Cricetulus griseus: one gene and its partners. The protein of the gene in region 1 interacts with the protein of each later gene in a pairwise test. Links are inferred from orthologs where the notes say so. Each region holds a gene or a part of one and is shown in the gene's direction. Other genes may lie near its edges.

The links.
Region 2: the proteins of Tfip11 (region 1) and Snrpb interact in binary tests that used the Homo sapiens proteins (3 or more experiments, as listed by UniProt). The link is inferred for Cricetulus griseus from reciprocal best matches to the Homo sapiens genes TFIP11 and SNRPB.
Region 3: the proteins of Tfip11 (region 1) and Bmf interact in binary tests that used the Homo sapiens proteins (3 or more experiments, as listed by UniProt). The two-hybrid records come from large-scale screens. The link is inferred for Cricetulus griseus from reciprocal best matches to the Homo sapiens genes TFIP11 and BMF.

The regions. Positions count from the first base shown.
Region 1 is NC_048597.1:92,011,005-92,014,473, forward strand, and holds the end of Tfip11 (tuftelin-interacting protein 11), read left to right. Parts: coding exon 1-137; intron 138-470; coding exon 471-636; intron 637-988; exon of another isoform or gene 989-1,757; coding exon 1,758-2,113; 3' UTR 2,114-2,181; coding exon of another isoform or gene 2,182-2,232; 3' UTR 2,233-2,233; coding exon of another isoform or gene 2,234-2,329; 3' UTR 2,330-2,331; coding exon of another isoform or gene 2,332-2,520; 3' UTR 2,521-2,825; coding exon of another isoform or gene 2,826-2,871; 3' UTR 2,872-2,900; downstream 2,901-3,469. UniProt on the Homo sapiens protein: Involved in pre-mRNA splicing, specifically in spliceosome disassembly during late-stage splicing events. Intron turnover seems to proceed through reactions in two lariat-intron associated complexes termed Intron Large (IL) and Intron Small (IS).
Region 2 is NC_048599.1:48,440,064-48,443,610, forward strand, and holds the start of Snrpb (small nuclear ribonucleoprotein-associated proteins B and B'), read left to right. Parts: upstream 1-747; 5' UTR 748-894; coding exon 895-897; intron 898-2,978; coding exon 2,979-3,130; intron 3,131-3,547. UniProt on the Homo sapiens protein: Plays a role in pre-mRNA splicing as a core component of the spliceosomal U1, U2, U4 and U5 small nuclear ribonucleoproteins (snRNPs), the building blocks of the spliceosome.
Region 3 is NC_048599.1:59,933,560-59,937,380, forward strand, and holds the start of Bmf (bcl-2-modifying factor), read left to right. Parts: upstream 1-1,252; coding exon 1,253-1,375; intron 1,376-1,744; coding exon 1,745-1,874; intron 1,875-3,821. UniProt on the Homo sapiens protein: May play a role in apoptosis. Isoform 1 seems to be the main initiator.

The DNA.
Region 1 (3,469 bases):
GTCTGGGTGAACTCGTCATCAACCCCCACCAGCAGCATATGGACGCCTTCTATTGGGTGATGGACTGGGAAGGGATGATCTCTGTCTCAAGCCTGGTGGGGCTGCTGGAGAAGCATTTCTTCCCCAAGTGGCTTCAGGTGTGCTGTGTGGCCCAGGAGGGCAGGGTGGGGTGAGAGCCCAGGGGTCCTCAGTGCGCATTGCTGTCAAGGCATGGTATTGTCTCACCTCAGCTCCTCACCGAACCTGTCTGGGGATGTAGAGATTTAGGTCCAGCACATGTAGGCCACAGGCTGGCTCTAGATTCTAATAATTGCTAGATGCTGCAACTCCACGAGCCCTGTGATGTGGGCTGCTAGGAGGAGCAGCGCTGCAGACAGCAAGTAGCCCCTGGGGACACTGCTCCCGCTGCTGTGGTCCAGCCTCCTGTCCAGTGTGTGGCCACTGGCTCAGTGTCTGGTGTCCTTTGGCAGGTGCTATGCTCCTGGCTCAGTAACAGCCCCAATTACGAGGAGATCACCAAGTGGTACCTGGGCTGGAAATCCATGTTCTCAGACCAGGTGTTGGCACATCCCTCCGTCAAGGACAAGTTCAACGAAGCACTTGACATCATGAACAGGGCTGTGTCCTCCAATGTGGGTGAGTAGGGTTCCTGTTGGGGGTGTGTTCGGGCCTTGGTTCCTAAACATGACATTGACTCCCACTGCTTTTGGTCTTCTGTGAGGCCACTCTACCAGTCACTTTACTCCTGGGACAGTGTCCAGTGGACTGCTACTTACAGCTCCCACCCTGTTGTCCTGTGACAGAGGCTGACAAGAGTGGGTCTGACTCCAGGCAGGTTTCCCACACTGCTCTGCATAGACAGAACTTGGCAGTTGCTCCTTTCTGAGCAATGCTCTGTGCCTACTTCATGGGCTACAAGATGGCTGAGCTCATGTCTGTGGCACTTGGCAGCTGGGTCCTTAAAGGCATGGATATTAGGATTCACCAGACCAGTATTAAGTGGAGTTTATTAGTAAATAACTTAAAACACGGAAAACAGTAAGTAACTGCTGTAGCGTTTCTGCTCCCTGATGCTCTGGTGACCCAAAGGGGCTTCTGACCCCAAACCTGTATGGCCACGCCTAAAAGGTGTGGTCAGTGTTGCAGGTGTGGAGGCAGATCTATCACTACAGGTCCTTGTGTATCACTGCTTGCTGTTGGGGGCCCAGGATTGCTGTATTACAGCACAGTCACATTGCTACGTGGCTCACGTAATACACACAAGTGCAGTGCCAGGGGAGGCCAGAAGAGGCTATCAGATCCCATGGTCTGGAGTTAGATAGTTGTGGGTATCTGAAGTGGGTGCTGGCAATCAAGCTGGATTTTCTGCAAGCACAATACATACTCCTTATCAATGAGCCAAATCTCCAACCCCCGATTTCCATTCTTTGAGGGCAGGAGCCACTGTGGACAAGGGGAAAGTAGAGGCAGCAAAGGCCATGATAGACTATGAGGTGACCTTGTGGGTGGTGATTTCGGGAGGCCACCTCTGGGCCCAGCCCTTGTCCACATCTCATCCGATACTAACAGATTCGCTTCTGGCATTTGATATTAGCTGCAAGTTCATGTACCAATTTTGTGATATGTCTCTCTTCAATTATGCAGTGACCATGTATTAGTGCCTGGGTCCTTAAACAGAGGACACACCATGCCATCATAATGCATGTTGGGTTCTGTACATTTGGGGTCACCTCTCCTCACTGTCCTCCCTCTCTCAGGTGCCTACATGCAGCCAGGTGCACGAGAGAATATTGCCTACCTCACCCACACGGAGCGCAGGAAGGACTTCCAGTATGAGGCCATGCAGGAACGCCGTGAGGCTGAGAATATGGCTCAGAGGGGCATCGGTGTGGCTGCCAGCTCTGTGCCTATGAACTTCAAGGACCTCATTGAGACCAAGGCAGAAGAGCACAACATTGTGTTCATGCCTGTCATTGGCAAGCGGCATGAGGGCAAACAGCTCTACACCTTTGGCCGGATTGTCATCTACATCGACCGGGGTGTGGTATTTGTGCAGGGTGAGAAGACTTGGGTGCCCACCTCCCTGCAGAGCCTCATAGACATGGCCAAGTAGACATCAGGGCCCTGCACCAGTCAGGTGTGAATAAACAGCACTTTAAACTGACTTTACAAACAATGTCTCTATTTGGGAGACCAGGCCACCAGAGCAGAATGTGATGTGATACCAGCAGCCTGGGCTGTATTTCTTGCCTGGCAAAGGAGATGGCATGGTCTGCAGCATGGCTCCTGGCCCAGGTGGCAGATACTGTCCTGCTATGCCAGCTGAGCTCAGCCTGTCTGTTTCCTGATGATCTCCAGGTCCTCGCAGTCCTGGTAGTCAGGTTCTTCCTGAGATGCCCACAGGTTCCTGGGAAGTCCCTCCAGCTTCAGCAGAGGGAACCAGTGGACAGAAGTGTCATTAAAGGTGTCCATGTAGCGTGGAGTCTGCGGCAGTGGGAACTCCTCCAGGCTCTTCACAATCTGAGCAGAGGGTCCAGACATAGGCATTAGGCACAACCCTGCTCTCCTGGTGTACCTTCCCTTCACTGGCAACCCCACTGTCCTTTTGAAAAATAAATGGGGATTTGTCTATCAATGCTTTTCAGTCCTGATGGTAGTGGGAATGCTGGACTCACCCTGAGAATGAAGGGAATTGGGCACTTACGGGTTCCAGGGAAGGGCCCCTGCCAGTACATTATGCTTTGTATGCTTAGAAACATCAGTGGGTAGTGGGGCACACATCCCCCCACCCCATCCCCCGCCACTCTCACTATTCTGTGAGATACCTTTGCAATGTAGGGATAATTTTTCTGCAGAATCCTTGCCAACAACCTAGAAATAAATGTATTTATACACAATCAGCGAGGATATGTGGATGGTTTTTTTTTTTTTAATAATGGATAGAAAAATAAGATGAGTTCAGAAAGGGTTGGGGGCTGTGGAATGTGATGCCCCAGCAAGCATCTGTAGGGAAGAGCATCTGTGGGGTGGCACAGGCAGGCACTTCAAAAGTACATTAAGAGTGTGGTCTTCACACATAAAGCATGGCTACTCACACATGCTTTTCCCCCAGAAGAGGCGATTATTTGTAGGTTCCTTGAGTGCTTTAAGCTGGACTCGGGGGTTGATGCCTGCCTTAAACCTTTCCACCCAGTCCCTTATGGGGATGGAAAGCCCTTCTGCCCGTAGGTGGGCCTGGTGGTCACAATAGCTCACCTTTCCTCGATGCACTGGAAACTGTTCCCAATGATGACCACCCTGGAAAGGGCGTCTATGGACCAGTTGCTCCACAGCAGATTGTTGTATAGAGCTGTGCCACAATGTGGCATGTAGAAGATGGTGGGTTGGCCTTGGGTGCTGCGCTTGCCTTCCTGTGGAAGCCATAGCAGAATGGGTGCTAGGGAGCTGAGTGCAAAGCCTAACTCTTCTG
Region 2 (3,547 bases), on another chromosome or scaffold:
GGTACTGGGAGTCTTGGAAGGTAACCCCTCCAACAATGAGGGGACTACCGCTTAGCATGTCAGATAGCAATCAATATTAAAGACAAAAAATGGGAAGGACTCGTTTCTTATCTATCTATCTATCTATCTATCTATCTATCTATCTATCTATCTATCTATCTACCTACCTACCTATCTATAAAGAGAAAGGACGATCAGGGAAGTCCTCACCAGGACAGTGTTATTTCAGTCTAAACATGAAGAGGAAAGGGCGAGACAAAAGCAAATGCAAAGGTACAGATGAAAGAACATTTCAAGCCTTAGGGGAAAATCAGTAAGAGTGAGTTCTGTGAGTGAGTTCACGAGAGCGCTGGGTTCAAGAACTGGAGTAGGGGAGGGGTTCCGGGGAGAGAAACACGCCACCCTCGCGGAGACTAAGTTGGGAAGGTGTGTGTCCAACGAGGATCCAATGCTTTCAAGGGCGTTCAGTTTGATGTTTATTACCAAATATGATGGTGTACGCCCGCGTCGGTACTAAGGATGCTATAGGTAGGAGGATCGGAGCTTAAGACCAGCCTGGGCGACACAGTCTCTAAAACAAAACAAAACGAGAGGGAGAGCTCGATAAAATTAAAACGAAGAAAAAAAAAAAAAACCAAAACCACACACACCAAAAAAATCAAAACAAAAACAAAACCCCAAACAAACCGGCCGCAGTCAACACCTTTCCACGCCCTAAACTGCTACCAGGGCCCGGAACTCCGGGGCGGAGGCCGAGCCGGAAGTAGCCTCACGAGGGGCGGCACTTTGCGGGCTGCATTTCCGTTAGCGGCGGCGGGAATCGCGCTGCTGGCTGGCGACTAGGCCTCTGTGGAAGCGAATCCGGCGGGCATCTGAGACATCGGAGCCGCCACCATGGTAAGAAGGCGCGGGCTGGCCGCGGGGCGCTCAGGGGTGCGGAGTGGGGCGGTGGCTGGCGGCGGCCGTGGGTTGAAGCCGCCCGTGGCCGACAAGGTCGGGGTCGAAGCCGCTTAATCCGGGCGCCAAAGGCCTGGACTTGCGGAGCGGCTGGGCCCGGGTGGAGGGGAAGGCTGCACCGGGGACCGAGGCCGCCGTGCGTGGCCCGGCGCCTCTGCGGTTACAGTTCCGCGGCCTCGGTAGCTGGAAACGTGTGCCGGGTCGCTGTGTGCCCGGGCTCCCGGAGCGGACGCGAGCCTCCGGCCGACCGGGGGACACCGGGCCGGACGGAGGAGAGGCGGAGGGAGCGGGAGGGTGGAGGAGAGTGTTTGCATGCAGAGCGCGACCCTGCTACGCGTATTTTTATGTTGGGGTATGTCAGGCGCTGGGGCTGCACCCTGAAATAAGTTGTGCGTTGGTTCAGTTTCTGGCTCTGTGCAGGGCTAATGTGATTCTCTATGGCAGTTCGGCTTTAGGCAAAAAAGTAACGGCAGGGGGAGGGGCGGGACGGGTCCAGAGCAGACGCCCAAGTGATTGTTTAGGAGCGCCCCGCTCCCCTGTACGAGGGAGGGTTAGAAATCTGGAGAACCGAGAGGGCCCAGTAGAAGGCAACGAATTGTCAGGAACCTGGTTGCTGAAGTCCCTGCATCTTGTTTTCCCTCTTGGTAGTAAGACATCGCTGGAAGAGTTTTCACAGGCTTCATGGACTTAGGTTTAGAAAGGTCAGCCGGGAAAAGTGGCCAGTGCTCGAAATTTGTAATTTCTGTGCATAGTAGGCAGAGGAGCTTGAATTTTGAAGCCAGTTTTGGCTACAGAGCAAATGTAACAAATGCCTCGAATGTCTCCAAAAATATTAGTCTAGTTAAGTAGCTGAAGAAACCCGAGGTAGCGAAAATAGGTTATTGTTTTTGAGAGTTGACTGAGACAAGTCCTTACTTAACCTTCAGCTTGGGTCGTCTATTTGGTCAGTAAAAAGGAATGACAGTGGACCCAGTTTTGAGGATTAAAGGAGATAAATCCTTTTCAAGGGCCTAGCCATACATAGCTATTAAATATTAGCTATTGGACCGATATACGCCGATCCTAGTAACAGAGCTCTTTGAGATGATTATTTAAGCAGAAAAAAATACAAAATCTGGTTTTCAGGTTAGGGCTGGGTAATGCTCACAGGGGTGAACAGCGTTCCTGGTACAGAGAAGACAACTTGGGTAGTTAAAAGTGACATAATGCCAGTTATAGTTGTGGGTAACTGATACGTTTCTGAGAGAGACTACCACAGATACCTCTGTTCACCTAGGGGTGTGTATAAGCGCCTTTATTTTTGCAAAGTTACATTGGGAACCAGGATAGAGAATGTTGTTTGCCTTAATTAAAAATTAGACTATTATATTATATATATATATTAGACTATTAAGTATCCAAACTAATTAGCACTCTGGCCCAGAAAAGTTGCCCAAGTTACCCTACTCCTGTTCTTGCTTCAGAGCTGGTTTCACTTTCTGGTAATAAGCTTTTCCTTAATTAAGTGAATCCACTTAGTGCCTGTTGAATTCCAGTTCTTAGTTTAGATGGATTTAGTTGTTCGTAGAACTGAGTCTATATAGTGGTGGATGGCTTAATGCCCACTAGGTCTAGTATGGGTGGATTTGATTAGTTTGTGAACACTTTAACTCTCCTGAGACAGATACAACATAGACAAAGTTGTAGTCCCAGGGAGATTGCCTGTTTTAAGGGCAGGGAAAATAGCACATTAATGGGCAGAAATCAAGGCTAAAGCTGGTTGATAAGAGTCTCAGAAAAGGACCTTGTTTGGAAGATGTCAGGAAATTGTTGAGAAGGTTGGGAATAGAAAAGTAGGCTGTGGTGGAAGATGGGGGCGGGGAGCAGAAGTGTGTGAGCGAGTCCTCCCTGCTCCCTCTTTGCAGACTGTGGGTAAGAGCAGAAGTGTGTGAGTGAGTCCTCCCTGCTCCCTCCTTGCAGACTGTGGGTAAGAGCAGAAGTGTGTGAGTGAGTCCTCACTGCTCCCTGCTCTCTCCTTGCAGACTGTGGGTAAGAGCAGCAAGATGCTGCAGCACATTGACTACAGGATGAGGTGCATCCTGCAAGATGGCCGGATCTTCATCGGGACCTTCAAAGCTTTTGACAAGCATATGAATTTGATCCTCTGTGACTGTGATGAATTCAGGAAGATCAAGTAAGGAGAGGGCTGTTGGGAGGGAGAAGGAACTGGGATGGACTGGATGGATGGGCGGGCCAAGAGTGGGATGGCCATTCAGCTAGGTGCTCTTGTTTGCTCACTTGCTTTTGAAGGGAGAAACTTAAAGGGGAATGTTAGCTGCTAAGGAATCTCTTCCTTAATCCAGAAAACCTTGCTCTCCAATTCTAGCAAAGTAGAAGTTGGTGAGGAGGGCTGCTAGGCTTTTAATTTTTCTGAGTTTGCATGCCCCTGGGTACTGGGGTAAAGGGCTCTCATGTTCTCCCCACAGGTGTGTGAGGGGGGAGAGCTTGATTTTCTGGCCTCATTACCTATTTGTAAAGCTGTAGCCTAAAGGGCTCTCCTATTGCAGCCTGGTCTGAAACTGCTTTAAGAAGCCTCTGACCCTCTTCAGGG
Region 3 (3,821 bases), on another chromosome or scaffold:
AGTAGGCTGTGGCAGGAATTGGTTCTTTTCACTGACTTCTGCTCCCTCCTTCCTCCGTGCTCCCCTGTCTTCCCCTCACCCCCCCCCCAATTCATCTTCTGTAAAACCTTTGCTGCCAGCCCTCTATAAAATACAGATTCCTCAGCCTGGTTTTCCAGTCGCACCTCTGCAGTCTGACCCGAACCCGCCTGCCCACACTTACACATCTAAGTCATGGTGAGGATGCCAGATAGCTTGCTGGAGAGGTGTGCCCCTGCTTCCTTGGACAAGCTTTCCAGCAGAGTACTTTATTCTAGCTTCCTGCCTTCTCTGGGCTTGGGCTGTTTTATTTGGATTTTACTTAATGAAAAATTCCTCATTTTTCTAAGCTCGACTCAAAATCTCTGCATTCTGAATTTTCCTGCACCCATAATTATCCCTACACGGAACACCATTCATGTTGCTTTCCGTTATTCGAAAATAACGGGGTAGAAGTTCACTGAGGTCAGGCACCAGAAGTCTGGCACTTAGTCCTGTGCCTGGCACACAGTAGGTGTTCAAGAAATGTGCAGTCATCCTTGGGTCGACCATAGTACGTGAGATGCTTGTTGCTTTCCCAGCGGCCAATGAAGTCTTCTGATGCGACCATCAACAGGTTGTGTCGGCTGCCCAAGCTGCCCCTCTTGATCTCGCCTCTGCCAGAATCTTTTTTTCGCACATGTTCTTGCCCAGTCCAGAAGAGAGGACCTGGGCCTCTCATTGCACTTGCTGGATCCAAATGTCATTTGGTTACAGATGCACGTGTTTTCCTCCAGCTTTCCTCGGACCCACCCAAGCAGGCGAGAGGGCGGCGCCCTCCCCCCTTCACTAGGGACCGACAACAGCTTTTTCCCTCTACAAGTTGCAAGCCGCTGAAAGCTCCCAGCCTCCTTCTGAGCCGGCTTTCTGGAAACTCCGCAATAATTCAGTCCATTTCCAAGTAGACAAAAGTCACTTCGGAGCCCTGTCCTCCCACCTAGTGGAGAACCCAGGGACTCCCTGGCGCTTCTGGGGCCTGCCTTAGGAACCGAATCCTCACCCGACACAGCGCTCCAATTACGCTTCTGGCGAAGGTCAGAAATGCGCTCGGCCCCTTATAGTGTTTCCAAGGGAAGGTTTGTACATTAGTGACCGTCCCTGGCAGCTACCCAGCCTGAGACTTGGAGCTCCACTTGTCATTGGTCAATGGTTGGAGTGACGCGAGAGGGGCGGGGCCTCATCAGCTGTTTGCGGGATGCCCGGAGCGGGCGTATTTTGGAAACAATACCGCGAGGTGCGCCGTGGCCTCCTCCCGCGCCAGCTCGCGCCCGCAGCAGCCACTGCCCCAGCTCGCGCCACCGCCTCCTGCCGCAGCCCGGTGAGCGCCCGGGCGGCCGGGGGCCAGGCGGAGTTGGATCGTGCCTCCTCCGGGAAGTGGGGAGCGGAGTCGCGCGGCGCGTGGGGGCCCGGGAAGGGTTTGGATTGCGGACATCTGGGGTGACCATGAAGAATTGGGGTGCCGGGATGTGGGAGCGGGGTGCAAAGCACAAATTTGGGCGTGCTGTTCCAAGCGGGGCTTTAGGGAAACATTTGGAACTTGGAGTTGAGAGTAGGTGGGCAAGTGACCCTGGGGTGCACTGCCAAGCGCTCGGAACGTTCTGGCCTCCGGGTCTGACTCTGGGGTGGGGCCGTGAGTTGTGGTGCATTTTGCCTCCCTGCGAACTCTGAAGGGTCCTCTTCTTAACAGCTGGAGTTTGCCCCCTCCTTCCCAATCGAGTGTGGGCGCCAAGCCCCCCGAGTGCTCATCACCCTGGACCCTGGCGCAGAGCCCTGGCATCACGACTCGGAGGCTGAGACTCTGTCCTGGAGTCACCCAGGTGTGTCTGCGCTCGTGTGTGCGCGCGTGTGTTTTGAGATCTTAGCCACTATCGATCTTCAAGGTGTCTAGCTAGTGCCATCTCCCAAGAAGAGGAGGAGTTTTAATTGAGCATCCCAGTTGGAGCTCTGAGGCTCTGGGATGGCTCCAGCGGACTTTAATCCCTTTGCTAGGAATAAAGCGTTCTCTGCTGTGCTCTCAGGAAGTGCCCTCTTCTTACCAGTCTGGACATTACCACTTTAGCTCAGGGAAGCTGAAGGTCTCTACTTTTCCCCATTTTACGTTTGTCTTTGCCCAGAACCTCTTGGAGGCGGAGGCTCACACCAACCGGAGAGCCACCTGCAGTTCGTGTGCAGAGTGGGAGGGGGTCTCGGCGTTTTCAGAGTCACACCCTCTGGCTGCACCTCCCCCACTGTCCAGTCTAGGCAAGGGTTGAACTTTGGGGCTTTGCTGGGAGGGGGAGGGGAGTGATAGGCATCAAAAGAAACACCAAGACAATGACTCCTACTTGTGATTGGCTCTGGAGGTCCCTACTTTGGTTGGGATTACCAGCCTGCAGAGAAGGGGATGAAGGACAGGAGAACTGCTTGGTGACAGCTCTTGGTCCTTTTATCTGGGAACTTGATTTTTCTGTTGCTGATAAGCTGGAGTTCCCCCTTACCAATTGGAACAATATCCAAAGATATGTGCTTTGCCATCCTAGCAGGCATGTATGGCATCAATCTCCAGGGAAGAAAGCAGAGACGAGGCCACAGATAGCTCAGGGATGTGATGAGGTGGAGTGCCGGATGAGGCAAGAAACTCAGAGCTCACATTTGGGGAGGGAAGGTCTCCGAACTTAACTAAGATTTCTTTAAAGACAAAGCTTTTCTTTTAAAAGGCTTCTTTAAGAACCCACAAACCACTTGGCTTGTCTTTCAAAGGCAAGACCCTAGTGGGTCAGAAGAGTCTGAAGATTACCAAATTTGTTTTTGCATTGCCTTGACCATTCAGGCGCTTGCCTATGATTCTGGTTGCCCCCGGGGCATGCTTGGAAGCTCAAGCTGCTGGGTGACTCCAAGTGCAGAATTTCATGAGCCGTCAGGTGGAGCGAGAGGAACTTAACACTAAGAAACAGCCCCCGCGGTGTAGGCAGTGAGAGAGAGCACAGCAAGAGGGCTGAATTTCACTTCCTTCTATGAGGCACGTTGCACCTATCTCAGGTTCAGCTCTGGCAAGAGTGGGAGGCTTCGTGGATGAAAATTTGAAGTCATGGAGATTAGTGGGTAGAATTAGCAGGACACTTTGCTAGAGGCTGATTCAGCCTTCAAAATTAACCTGTGCTGGGCAGACAGCTCTGTTCCAGTGGAAGAGAGCTGAGCCAGGCAGCTGGAGTGACTAACTTAGGTCCCCTGTTCCAGGACACTCACCACACCACAGAGCCTGTTTGTTGTGTTGTGCAAGGAGGGGGGTGGAGATGTGCAGTAGGGCAGGGCTTAGCAGGTTAGGAGGGAACCTGGCTGCTCTACAATTTCTGGCTTTTGTTTTTGCTGCTGAGCCTGGAGTTCAGCTCAGACTTAGGGGAAAGCTTGGAGGTCCCTCCTCAGTGTGTGTGTGTGTGTGTGTGTGTGTGTGTGGTTAGTCTTGCTTATCTTTTCCCAGGTACCCTGTGATAGCACCTGATCTTAACCCTTGCTTACATACCTCAGTGCCCAAGCTTTGTGACCAGCCTAGGCTAGAGAGTATGGGGAAAGGTGGCTCTGGTGGGTGCAGGGAGGAGGTATGGAGGAACCTGACCATTGGGGTGGTCCATACTTTATGGGTGAATGTCATCCTTGGCAGTGTTTAATTACCAGAGTTGTGTATCATCAGAAGCTGGCTTGGTTCCCACAAATAAGAAGAATGGGAAAGGAAGGAGGGAGGGAATTCTTCGTCTGGCCTCAGTAGGACAAGCATCCCAGATGCCTCC